3 linked regions of the Saccharomyces cerevisiae S288C genome follow. Changing the gene in region 1 together with any one later gene gives a genetic interaction. Each region holds a gene or a part of one and is shown in the gene's direction. Other genes may lie near its edges.

Region 1 (7,091 bases):
CCCTTTCCAATTTTCCCATGTCGATGAATTCGAGGCGTTAGAGACTGTCGCTAAACTCAAGTGATAGTCACACTTTAATATTAATAAATTGGAAGATTTCAGTCACATATTTGACAGAGGAAAATATAAAAATAAGAAGTAATAAAAGTAAATCATTATATATAAAAAAAATTAAGCATTATTCACACCTGATAAGGATTTTCTAAAAGACGACGCCATTATTAGAACAGGAGCAATTCAAATCGTTAAGCAAAGAAAAGAAAAAGAAAAAGAAAAAGTATGTGAAGGGTATAGACGAACAAAAAGGAAATCATTGAATTTATGGCATTTGATTGACGTTCCTGTTTGGTTCTGCAGTGCTACCACTCATAGCGCCAGAGTGAGCTCCTTCTGTGACCTTTTCTTGATAAGACCGATCACCTGACTCATCCGTAGAGTAAGCGTGCTGGTCCACTGCACTGTTAGCGACATTCGCAGAACCAGGATTACGATCGTTGGTGGTGTAACGCGTCTTAGGGTCCGCTGTTGTTGTGGTGTAACGTGTGTTGGTGGTGGTAGTATGGTACTGCCCATTGGGGTCATTAGTTGCATAGCGTGCGTCGCCATTCGGTTCAGATGTGTAAGCAGCATTATCACCTGCACCTGCTTCGACATCACCGGTCCTAACATTGGTGTTATCGTAAGCAGCTGTTTCTTCAAAAGGCTCGCTTAAAGCTAGTCCGCTCCACCTATGGAGCTTTGTACCCATAGAAGCGCCGCTTCTCCACATTCCTTGGGTTTGATAACGCTTCCTGATAGGTGTTAAGACATTAATTCCCAGTAATATCACACTGATCAAAAACAGTACAAAGCAAAGGCCAGAAAAGGCGATTGCCGCCTGAGAAGAATTACATGCTCTTCTATGACTGTCAGCAGTATATTGGCCACTGTACGGATTATAGTATAATCCGTCTGCATTAGTGTTGCTACAGCTACGTTCACCTTGAGCTTTGGCAAGAACAACGAAAGCTGCTAGCCATAGCATACAAACGATCAATTCGGCACAGAAGTACATTCCTATGTAGATCAATGTGGGTAGGGCCAGACACAAAATACCTAAGGCAATCAGATAAAACACACTAATGACACCTGTTGCCAATGTGAAGTTGGTTTTCTTATTACCTCTATTTCCATAGGCGTGGATGGCATACGCCAAAAGTGACATCACCAAAACCGATGATGCAAATTGAGAAAATCTCAAAAGTGTTAAGAAAACTCCAGTAACTCGTTTCATAACGTTGATATAATATATCTATTTGGTTTATGTTCCTCAATTGAAAAAAAAAACCGTAAACTTTCGTACTGAGAACATCAAAGCATAATGGTAACGGACGCTTTGTTGAACCTTTTTATACGTTGTCTTTTAGGGAATGTTAACCAACCATCGTCATCCCTTAAGATACGGTTTCAATATCCCTTGGAAACCAAATATACGTTAAAGTCATCAACGAGTATGCTTACTGGTTTATTAGTAACACAAACCTCAAAATCTCCTTAACTATCGTCAATTTAAGGGTATATATCCCCTTTCTCATTGTGCGTTTCTTTTTCCATGCCAGGTCAATACTCTCCTATGACTGGAAATACACTGTAAACATGCTTTTAGCCCTCTGGATTAGTAAGACTGGCAGGGCATCGCTTCGCCGTCCCTTTTTTCACTTTTACATTTTTTTTTTTTCATTTTCGCCCTTAAAGTTTTTTAAAGTTGATTTACTTACTTTTATGTAAAGAATATAAAACAATTCTAGACTTTCTTGGCGAAGGTTATTGAAGGAAGCGTGAATTCAAAAATCCATCACAGATATTTTGTATTCATTTTTTTGGGGAGGGCTCCTCTCCGCTCTACTCAACTTCACTGAGAACATAACATGGAAAGATTTTGGTACTTTATCTTGCGAAAGAAAGATTGCAAATAATGTTTGCTTTTTATTTTCTTCTCGTATATATCTATAAGGTCAATCTTATTGGTCACTGTCAAGAATGATTGTAACGGGCCCTTCATTAGTTAAAGAGCAACTCATCATTGCGCCGAATTCACCATCCTTTACTTTTTCCTCACCCAAATCACTTCTTAGTAATTTTAAGAATTCTTCATAAAGTTCTTTAGCTATATGACCCTTTTGGGCCAAATGGAAATCGGGTTTAGTTCCCTTCTTGGTTTTTGCCATCAAAGTGAATTGAGACACGGATAGAATTTCACCATTGGCCTCTTTAATATTCTTCTTCCATAGATTTCTGGATTCATCTTCGAAGATTCTCAAACTAAGAACCTTTTTCGATAATTTATCTATCTCCGCCATAGAATCATCAATGGAAATACCTACTAGGAGCATATAACCATGTTTAATACTGTCACATAGATAGAGGTGTTAGTAAAAAAAATTGGTGCACTAACGAAGCTGAAAAAACCGGTAACATACCTTGAAATAACTTTTGAATCGACGACTACAGATGCTTGGCTGACTTTTTGTAAGACAATCTTCATTGTAAATCCGCTGCTGAATAATATGTGGATTATTTAATATGTACATGCAGCCTTGATTAACGTGATTATACTTTTTAAACCTTTGATATCCAAATTTTTCAACGTCATAAGAGACGCGAAGGCCTAGTGAGATGCGAAATGCTAATTCAAAATGGAAATTTAAGAATATATTCATATATGTTTCTCTTTGGATACGAATGACCGTGGAAACTATCGCCTAAAAATGGATACCTTAGAAGAGCCTGAGTGTCCTCCACATAAAAATCGTATTTTTGTGAGCTCGAGTAAAGATTTTGAAGGCTATCCCAGCAAAGCAATAGTTCCCGTGCAATTCGTGGCGCTTTTAACCTCAATACACCTGACTGAAACAAAATGTTTGCTAGGCTTTTCTAATTTTGAGAGGCGAGGAGATCAATCCCAAGAAGATCAATATTTAATCAAACTGAAGTTCAAAGATAGGGGCTCGGAGAGGTTAGCCCGGATCACTATTTCCTTACTTTGCCAATACTTTGATATTGAACTGCCAGATTTAGATTCTGACTCAGGCGCATCCCCAACAGTAATACTGAGAGATATTCACCTTGAAAGGTTATGTTTTTCAAGTTGTAAAGCTTTATATGTATCAAAACACGGGAACTATACTCTATTCTTAGAGGACATAAAACCGTTGGATTTGGTAAGTGTGATAAGCACCATATCTACAAAATCGACAAATAGCAGCAAGCATTCGTCATCAGAACTTATTTCAGAATGTGATTTGAACAACTCACTTGTGGATATCTTCAACAATTTAATAGAAATGAATAGAGACGAGAAAAACAGGTTTAAATTTGTAAAGTTGATTCACTACGATATAGAACTAAAAAAGTTCGTTCAAGACCAACAAAAGGTATTATCGCAGAAATCAAAAGCCGCAGCAATTAATCCTTTCTTTGTGCCAAATAGACTAGGGATACCTTACATTGAATCCCAAAACGAATTCAACTCGCAGCTTATGACGCTTAATGTAGATGAACCGACCACAGATATAAGCAACATGGGAGAGGAAATGCATGACAGCGCAGATCCCATTGAGGATTCAGATTCCTCAACTACCTCCTCTACCGGGAAATATTTCAGCTCAAAATCCTACATCCAGTCACAGACACCTGAAAGGAAAACAAGCGTACCAAATAATTGGCACGATGATGATTCCGGAAGCAAGAGGAAGAGAAAGCTTTCTTTCCACAGTCCGAACGCGTCCTCAATCCGCAAAGCCATCAGTTATGAGCAACTTTCCCTAGCTAGTGTAGGCTCAGTTGAAAGGTTAGAGGGCAAAATTGTTGGCATGAATCCACCTCAATTCGCCAGTATAAATGAGTTCAAATATTGCACATTGAAATTATATTTTACGCAGCTCTTACCAAATGTCCCAGACAAGGTCCTGGTGCCAGGCGTCAATTGCATTGAGATCGTTATCCCGACGAGAGAGCGAATCTGTGAGCTCTTCGGTGTTTTAAACTGTCAAAGCGACAAGATATCGGATATTTTACTACTGGAAAAGCCTGATCGAATTTCCGTCGAAGTTGAAAGGATCCTGTGGGACAATGACAAGACCGCCAGCCCAGGTATGGCAGTATGGAGTTTGAAGAACATTAGCACCGACACGCAGGCGCAGGCGCAGGTGCAGGTGCCTGCGCAATCGTCGGCGTCAATCGATCCGTCTCGCACAAGGATGAGCAAAATGGCAAGGAAAGACCCCACCATCGAATTCTGTCAGTTGGGACTCGACACTTTTGAGACCAAATACATAACAATGTTTGGCATGCTAGTCTCCTGCTCGTTTGATAAACCTGCCTTTATATCTTTTGTCTTTAGCGATTTTACCAAGAACGATATCGTCCAAAACTATCTTTACGACAGATATCTAATAGATTACGAGAACAAGTTAGAGCTGAACGAGGGCTTCAAAGCCATCATGTACAAAAACCAATTCGAAACGTTTGACTCTAAGCTCAGAAAAATATTCAACAACGGGCTAAGAGATCTACAGAACGGCCGCGATGAAAACCTTTCGCAATACGGCATAGTTTGTAAGATGAATATAAAAGTGAAAATGTACAACGGCAAATTGAATGCCATTGTGCGCGAATGTGAGCCGGTCCCGCATTCCCAAATAAGCAGCATCGCCTCGCCTTCACAGTGCGAACATTTAAGATTGTTCTACCAACGAGCGTTCAAGAGAATTGGCGAATCCGCAATTTCACGCTATTTCGAAGAGTACCGGAGGTTTTTCCCCATACATAGAAACGGTTCTCATCTCGCGAAACTGAGGTTCGATGAAGTAAAGCATGAACCAAAAAAATCACCCACTACACCAGCTCTCGCAGAACACATACCCGACCTGAATGCAGACGTGTCCTCCTTCGATGTAAAGTTCACAGATATATCTTCTCTCTTGGACTCCTCGGCTCGCCTCCCGCGCCCACAGCAAACACACAAGAGCAACACATTATACAGTTGCGAGGGCCGTATCATCGCCATCGAGTACCACGCATCTGATCTCTGCTTCCATATCACGAATGAGCTCCCACTTTTACAAACCCGCGGCTTGGCCCCGGAGCGAGTGTTGCAACTACACATCATTACCTCCAAGAACTTTGCTTATTTTTTCAACCGCTCAAGCGCCTACTTACAGCGTCAGCCTCTTGAGGAAAAATATACGCAATTGGCACAATTTCTCGGCCATTCATTTAAATTCAATATAACCTCCTCGCTCACGCTGTTCCCTGACACTACCGTGGCACTCCAGATCTGGTGCCCAATTGAATGCACCTTTCGGGAATTGCAACAACAGCTGGCCCATCCGAAGGTTGCAGCGGCTCCTGATTCAGGGAGTCTTGATTGCGCAATTAATGCTACCGTCAATCCTCTGCGACTTCTTGCCGCGCAAAATGGCGTCACCGTGAAAAAGGAGGAGGATAATGACGATGACGCCGGAGCCGTTCCCACCTCGTAAGACATGATCCGCGCAGCCCAACGCGGCGGTGCCAAATTGCAGTGACGTCTCGGAGTAATATAAAAAAAAAAGACCAAATAACCAAATTTAAGGGTGCTCTGAATATAAGGGAGTGGAACGTTTTCACACGAAGGAAAAGGGAAAGAGGGGAGTGGTAAGAAGCAAGAGTCAATGAAAGGTCTTCCTTCCTTCTTGATGCTAAAACAAGGATAGTCTGGAATGGGGAGGAGCATTCGGCGCAGATGCCGACATATAAAAGGATGGTTGCTTTGCAACAGTTACTTGATCTTGCTTTGTTCTCTTGATTAGTTATCCGTTAGATGCAAACTTTAAGTACAGTAATTTTGAAGTGAATTAAAAAGAAAGAGGTATTTACGTTTAACGCTTATACTTTCCTTTTTATCCAAGTAACAAGTAACACTAATCACTATAATCTACCGCTATGATTTTCAAAAGGTTCGTTAATTTGCTTGTGTTTTTATTCCTACTCGGTGCTGGCTTATTGACGTTTTTTCTTATTCTGTCAGGAGGCAGAGAATCTGGAACGCTGAAAAATTTTTATTGGTTACAGGCTGATACAAACGGCTTTAACAGCGCTCCATCGACCACGAGATGGTACAATTACAATTGGTGCGGCTACGAAGACGGCCAGCTAGCTAATTGCTCTAGCAGGGCGCCCGCCAAGCCTTTCTCTCCCAGAGACAATTTTGGTAACTCTGTCAATTTACCATCGTCGTTCAGAAACAACCGGGATACCTACTATTATCTATCCAGGGTTGGATGGGCCATGCTGCTGATTTCCCTATTTTTCATCGTACTGGCGCTGGTACCCGGCTTTCTGGCTACCTTCCTTCCTTTCAAGGCAGTGCCAGTCCTGTACTGTGTGTTGTCCTGGTTGGCCTTTTTCTTCATTATATTGGCTGCATGCTTGTACACAGGTTGCTATGTGAAGGCCAGAAAGACCTTCCGCAACAGCGGGAGGTCTGCAAGGCTGGGACCCAAAAACTTTGCGTTCATCTGGACTTCGGTCTTCTTGATGCTCGTGAACGCCATTTGGTCCACTATATTCAGTGCTACCCACAAGGCCCACTCTACCTACTCGGACCACGACATGTATGCCCAATATGAAAGCCCTTCTGTTGACACCGGTGCTCAAATGGAGAAATCCACTTACAATAGTGGGGCGACGGACGGCGCGGGCCCTATCACAGCCGCACCTGTGGTTGGACAGCCTCAACCTACAACCACCACTACTCCGGCTGGCAATGGCAAGTTCTTTCAAAAACTGAAAACAAGAAAGCAGGTGCCATCAGCTGAGTTAGAACCAGCTGGGGATGGTGGTCTTGCCGGGCCAGTGACGGTACGCGACTAGGAAGGAAATAATCACCATAAAATACTTCCTAATTTTTTTTTTCTTCCTACATTCGCAGTACCATAACTCTGCATCTACCTCCAACCGAAATATTTTTTTGTGACATGGTATAATCCATATGTATCGTGCTGAAATTTTTTCTTGGAGATTTTCATTTATTCTCCACCATTCTTTCTCGCCTCCCCTCCTCCTTTTCC
Region 2 (3,908 bases), 680 kb from region 1:
TGAACATTACGGGTTTATCATTTGCTGTAGCAAACGAAACAAACTCAACAGTTGGTGTCTTGGGTATTGGTTTGCCTGGCTTGGAGTCAACTTATTCTGGTGTTTCTCTCAGCTCTGTACAAAAAAGCTACACTTACAATAACTTTCCGATGGTGCTAAAGAATTCGGGTGTAATAAAATCAACAGCTTATTCTTTATTCGCAAATGATTCTGATTCGAAACATGGTACCATTTTGTTTGGCGCTGTGGATCATGGAAAATATGCGGGCGACCTATACACAATTCCCATCATTAATACTTTGCAGCATCGCGGCTACAAGGATCCAATTCAATTCCAAGTCACTTTACAAGGATTAGGTACGTCGAAAGGGGATAAAGAAGACAATCTGACAACCCTAACCACTACAAAGATCCCAGTCCTGCTAGATTCAGGTACGACCATATCGTATATGCCAACTGAGCTGGTAAAAATGCTTGCCGACCAGGTCGGAGCTACTTACTCTTCTGCATATGGTTACTACATAATGGATTGTATCAAAGAGATGGAAGAAGAGAGTAGCATCATCTTTGATTTTGGTGGATTCTATCTTTCTAATTGGTTAAGCGATTTTCAGCTAGTCACAGATAGTCGTTCAAACATTTGTATACTAGGTATTGCACCGCAGTCAGATCCGACCATTATTTTGGGTGATAACTTCTTAGCTAATACTTACGTGGTATATGATCTGGACAATATGGAGATATCAATGGCTCAGGCTAACTTCAGCGACGACGGTGAATACATTGAGATTATAGAGAGCGCGGTTCCAAGTGCTCTTAAAGCACCTGGTTACTCAAGCACTTGGTCTACATATGAAAGTATTGTCTCCGGCGGCAACATGTTTTCCACGGCAGCTAACTCCAGTATATCGTACTTTGCTTCCACGTCTCATTCGGCAACAAGTTCTTCCAGCTCCAAAGGCCAAAAAACCCAAACAAGTACGACAGCTCTCTCTATTTCAAAATCTACCTCAAGTACTTCCTCAACAGGAATGTTATCTCCCACCTCAAGTTCATCTACGAGAAAAGAAAACGGAGGACACAATCTGAATCCTCCATTTTTCGCCAGGTTCATTACAGCTATTTTTCATCACATTTGATAAATCCCTCCCTCCATATAAGCATTTACTAGACTTTAAAAGTTGCAATGTATATCTGGAGGTATAACATTGTACATTACTTGAAAGAAAAGCGTCTTTTAACGTAAAATAAATAATACTGTTCTTTTTTATTGTTACTGGCTTCTTAATCAACAATTATATACTTCGACGCAAAAAGCCGGGTAAAACATTCTATCTGCCATTGTCAAAAAATATGAAAGAATTTTTTACATATAACTACATTGCATTAGTATCACCAAATCAATAATGAAATAATAGCTAAAAACTATATATTGAAGGAAATATAGTTTATCATATATATCCTCTAGTGAAGCTACTATAGATAGAAATTATTTAGCATTTCAGGATAGTTCGTTTCTCCCTTTTTTCCCCTTTGTTTTCTCTCATAGTCTTGTAACCTCAGCTTTTGTTCATTATGAGTGAAAGTGGTCAAGAACAAAACAGAGGCACAAATACATCACCAAATAATGCTGAAAATAATAATAATTCAAATGCAGCTTCCGGTCCACTCAATGGTGGTGCTGAGCAAACAAGAAACATAACCGTTTCCATTCAGTATTCCTATTTCACTCCGGAGAGATTAGCACATTTGAGCAATATATCTAATAATGATAATAACGAAAACAACAGCGCAGCATCCGGTAGCACGATTGCCAACGGTACTGGGCCCAGCTTTGGCATCGGAAATGGGGGCCATCAACCCGACGGTGCTCTTGTTTTATCTTTTCGTGATGTTCCTGCGTCTACTCCACAAGACCGTTTGAACAGCTTCATATCTGTTGCTGCTCAGCTTGCAATGGAGAGATTCAACAGACTATTAAATAGACCAAAAGGAATATCAAAGGATGAGTTTGATAAGCTCCCCGTTCTGCAAGTTTCTGATCTACCCAAGGCCGAAGGGCCCTTATGTAGTATATGTTATGACGAATATGAAGATGAAGTTGATTCAACTAAAGCAAAAAGAAAAAGGGATTCTGAAAATGAGGAGGAATCTGAAGGAACAAAAAAAAGGAAGGATAATGAAGGTGCGCCCCTACGCACAACCGCCGATAATGACAGTAACCCATCGATTACAAATGCTACGGTTGTTGAACCGCCTTCTATTCCTCTCACTGAACAACAACGCACTCTCAATGATGAAGAAACAAATCCAAGCTACAAACACTCACCAATCAAGTTACCTTGTGGCCACATTTTTGGGAGGGAATGTATCTACAAATGGTCAAGATTAGAAAATTCTTGTCCCCTTTGTAGACAAAAGATCAGCGAATCTGTAGGTGTTCAACGTGCAGCCCAACAAGATACGGATGAAGTAGCAGCTAACGAAGCTGCTTTTGAACGTATTAGACGAGTTTTATACGACCCAACTGCAGTGAATAGCACTAACGAAAATAGTTCCGCCCCATCCGAAAACACGTCCAATACAACGGTTCCCACTATCGGAAATGCAAGTTCTGGCGAACAGATGTTATCAAGAACAGGCTTTTTTTTAGTGCCTCAAAACGGCCAACCTTTACACAATCCAGTCCGTTTACCGCCTAATGATAGCGATAGAAACGGTGTCAACGGGCCGAGCTCAACTACTCAAAATCCACCCTCTAATTCTGGTGGTTCGAATAACAATCAAAGTCCGCGCTGGGTTCCCATCCCTTTGACTTTGTTCCAATTCCACAGTCCAAATCCGAATCCTTCCGCTTCTGATTCTTCGGCAAGCCCATCAGCAGCGAACGGTCCAAACTCAAATAACACTAGTAGTGACGCTACAGACCCTCACCACAACAGACTAAGAGCCGTTTTGGATCACATATTCAACGTTGCTCAGAGGGGAACTTCTGATACCTCTGCAACAACAGCACCCGGAGCACAAACTGTTCACAACCAAGGACGTAATGACTCATCGTCCTCTGATACAACGCAAGGAAGTTCCTTTTTGGAAAATATTTCACGATTAACAGGCCATTTTACGAATGGCTCAAGAGACAACAATAACGACAATAACCATAGCAATGATCAACAACGAGGTGGAAGTACTGGTGAGAACAACAGAAATAACTTGTTTTCCTCCGGTGTTGCCAGTTATAGAAATCAAAATGGTGATGTTACTACCGTCGAACTACGCAACAACAATTCTGCTGCCTTTCCTCCTACAGACGAAAATCCCTCTCAAGGCCAAGGTTCAAGCAGTTCGGACACCACCATTCATAACGACGTCCCTAATGATAACAATGAGCAACGATCATCACAATAAACAATACCGCTTCTGAAGTATGTTAATATGAAAATATGTCCTATTGGCAGTCATCCATTTTCAGACATTATTTTCTACTCCTTTTACCTTTTTTTTATCTGCATCTTTATATATATATATCATATACTTATTTTTCTTTACTTCTACTTAAAGTTCTATAATCATTGTTAATCAGAAATTTGCATGTCTCCAGCAAGTAAATATGAAGGCCGAGAAATTAAACCACCGACATAACCTCCTCTGAAAAGTCGTTTCGCAAAACAGTAAAAGGTGAAAACACTTTTAAGAACTGTGGAACACAAACTGTGTTTTCTTACCATAAAATCTTTTACCGGAGGTCGAAATCGTTTTCTTTCTGATTTGGAATTCGACGCTCGAAAAGTGCAGAGATCTCATATTGTTAACGGACTATCATCTAACTTTTTGCATAATTTATACAACATGCTCAGATATCATATGCAAGGTTTTAGTGGGTACGGTGTCCAGTATTCTCCCTTTTT
Region 3 (3,009 bases), on another chromosome or scaffold:
ATAAAACCCATGGTCTGAATTTGGAGCTTCATATATGTTTTCGATATATTCTGATTCATCAGGTAACGCAAACCGTGGTATCCGTCTAACACGATTGACAGAACTACCCCAGGAAGGATGATTATCGTAATGTAAGGAGAATTGGTTGGTTAATTCATTTTGATTGTAAACAGCAAATTTATTAGAATCGCCAGACACTACCATCGTTTGACCATCATGTGACAAAGAAGCGTTATTCAAAGGAAATTTTAAATCCGCATAACGCTTCACTAGTGTTACATCTCTATTACTTACATCGCATTGGTAAAGATGACCATCATTGTTGCATGCAAAAAGATCAAACTGCATACTGGCCCTGTCATAAAGTGTGACACAATTATTGATGAACTGGCCCAACGTAAAAGTCATCATTGTGTCCGTTTCTTGATTATAAAACTCCACGATGCCCTTCCAGATATTAGGATTTGAATAATGTGAATTTATAGGGAAACTAATATTTTTGGAAATATTAATCGGTTGGGAAGGTGGCGGCAACGAAATATTTGCATCTTGAGCTAAACGGTTCCAATTAGAAGGGAATCCCTTATCATCAGAACCGATTAGACCACCACAAACAGTCAACCCATTTAATTCCGTGAAACATCTCGGCTTAAAGTTGAACTCTACCAGTTTCTCGGAAGGAACATGTAAATTTTTGGAGATATACGAGCCCGTTGTCCTAGAACCTTTTGTAGACGTTTTTTCAGTAGAGTTTTTACCACTGTTACTCGGTTGAATAGAATTATGTCGCCTTACTGGAGACCTCAATACGGAAGAATCCGTATCTAGTACTCTTATCGAATGATCGTAAATATAATACAGTTTACTCTGGTTCATGGAGCCTGGTTTGATACAATCCCGCAACTGCCAATGGTTTATGGAGACCTTGGCATCGTAGAGTTCTAAAGCAGGCATCATATAGTTTTGGTAAACCTTATCAGAGCCAGTATTTAACCGTTCATCTTGCAGCGCCTCCTTAGATTGCCCCGTGCCATCAATGGTCATTCTTTAACACGTATACTTTTGTAACTTATTGCTGTTTTTCTACCACTTTATTCGATCTTACTTGTCGTTGCTTAATCAGCAAAAGTTTTGTACTAGAATAAAGTTGTAATAGGCTTTTAATCCAGAGTCTCCTCCTCCTCACTTTCTGATCATCACCCCTTATTGCCTCAGAAAAGAGATCATACTCCGCTTTAAAGCCGTTCAATGTCACGTGACACAAAGTTGTAGCCGTATAACATATGGCGCTACCATGTTGTTATTTAGACGGGTAACATCACCGTTTAGAAAGATAAAGGAAAGTGAAATTATTGGAATGGAAAGTGTTCCCAAAAGTTCGCACCAACGCAAAAAGAAATTTTTTTTTCAATTTTGATATCATCGTTGCGTAGAGGAAGCCCTAACTGAGTAGAGAAATTATATGGTATTTTCCTTGTAATATTTGATTTTGAGTCGATATCCCCTTTGTTCTTCTTCCTTCCTTCGCTTGTTTTAGTTGTATACTTGGTTTATTGTGGAAGATTTTTTTTTCTGCTTCGTAGTTTTAAATTAGAAGTTATTTCTTTGCAAATTTCTCTTCCCCCCACAGTATTCTTTTAGAGGTGAAGTAGAAATAAACCAAGAAAGCATACACATTTTATTCTCAATGTCCAACCCATTTGATTTGTTAGGTAACGACGTCGAAGACGCTGACGTTGTCGTTTTGCCACCAAAGGAAATCGTCAAGAGCAACACTTCCTCCAAGAAGGCTGACGTCCCACCTCCATCCGCTGACCCATCCAAGGCTAGAAAGAACAGACCAAGACCTTCTGGTAACGAGGGTGCTATCAGAGACAAGACCGCTGGTAGAAGAAACAACAGATCAAAGGATGTCACTGACTCTGCCACCACCAAGAAGTCCAACACCAGAAGGGCCACTGACCGCCACTCTAGAACTGGTAAGACTGACACCAAGAAGAAGGTTAACCAAGGTTGGGGTGATGACAAGAAGGAATTGAGTGCTGAAAAGGAAGCTCAAGCCGATGCTGCTGCTGAAATTGCTGAAGACGCTGCAGAAGCTGAAGACGCTGGTAAGCCAAAGACCGCTCAATTGTCTTTGCAAGACTACTTGAACCAACAAGCTAACAACCAGTTCAACAAGGTCCCAGAAGCTAAGAAGGTTGAATTAGACGCTGAAAGAATTGAAACTGCTGAAAAGGAAGCTTACGTTCCAGCAACCAAGGTCAAGAACGTCAAATCTAAGCAATTGAAGACCAAGGAGTACTTGGAATTTGATGCCACTTTTGTTGAATCTAACACTAGAAAGAACTTCGGTGACAGAAACAACAACAGCAGAAACAACTTCAACAACCGTCGTGGTGGTAGAGGCGCTAGAAAGGGTAACAACACTGCTAACGCTACTAACTCTGCTAACACCGTTCAAAAGAACCGTAACATTGACGTTTCTAACTTGCCATCTTTGGCTTAAGCCTTATATATGAATAATTCCAACTGAAAGAATCCAATAACAGTGTTCTACTTTCTGTTTCTATTACTATTATTATTTTAATTGGTTATTTACTATATAATTTGCAAGTGAAGATGATCATGCTGGCAAACCAAAGAATAAAATTGGGTTGACATCCAATCGAGAATATGACATATCATTTTGTTTTATTTAAGCAATAAAAAATAAATGACTTTTAATTTACTTTTCAATTTTCTTTTTTTTTTTTTCACTTCTGAGATGTGCAAGCGTGTAGTTTGTTTGTATTTGTATAACAATTTCATCATTAGTCATTCTTCATTAAAAACTTTTTGTTATCGATTAAGGACATCCAGTATGATTCTTTTTCTCTCATCTTGATTATCTCTTGAGAGTATTGTTAGGCAACGCATTATACCACAGTTTTTTTTACCAAAGCGAGCGGCACTCCAGCAGGTGCTTCATGTAGTATTCAGGTATCACATCGCTATATTTTAAGTTTC

What was found.
Region 2: of CDC13 (region 1) and SAN1, a mutation in one rescues a mutant of the other (synthetic rescue), as found in Saccharomyces cerevisiae (5 studies listed by BioGRID, with this or other methods).
Region 3: of CDC13 (region 1) and STM1, extra expression of one rescues a mutant of the other (dosage rescue), as found in Saccharomyces cerevisiae (4 studies listed by BioGRID, with this or other methods).

What each region holds. Positions count from the first base shown.
Region 1 is NC_001136.10:60,675-67,765, reverse strand, and holds CDC13 (telomere-binding protein CDC13), read left to right. Parts: upstream 1-2,747; coding exon 2,748-5,522; downstream 5,523-7,091. Other genes in the region: YDL218W (uncharacterized protein), read right to left, coding at 320-1,273; DTD1 (D-tyrosyl-tRNA(Tyr) deacylase), read right to left, coding at 2,001-2,388, 2,460-2,524; FMP45 (Fmp45p), read left to right, coding at 5,965-6,894. UniProt on the Saccharomyces cerevisiae protein: Single-stranded telomeric DNA-binding protein that regulates telomere replication. Has a role in both positive and negative regulation. Promotes [TG(1-3)] strand lengthening via interaction with EST1.
Region 2 is NC_001136.10:741,542-745,449, reverse strand, and holds SAN1 (ubiquitin-protein ligase SAN1), read left to right. Parts: upstream 1-1,575; coding exon 1,576-3,408; downstream 3,409-3,908. Other genes in the region: MKC7 (aspartyl protease), read left to right, coding at 1-1,139; PEX7 (Pex7p), read left to right, coding at 3,850-3,908. UniProt on the Saccharomyces cerevisiae protein: Plays a specific role in mating-type regulation of yeast, by acting post-translationally to control the stability or activity of the SIR4 proteins.
Region 3 is NC_001144.5:438,780-441,788, forward strand, and holds STM1 (Stm1p), read left to right. Parts: upstream 1-1,687; coding exon 1,688-2,509; downstream 2,510-3,009. Other genes in the region: GID11 (Gid11p), read right to left, coding at 1-1,044; PCD1 (8-oxo-dGTP diphosphatase), read right to left, coding at 2,936-3,009. UniProt on the Saccharomyces cerevisiae protein: Ribosome preservation factor that protect a small pool of nontranslating, vacant ribosomes in cells under nutrient starvation conditions.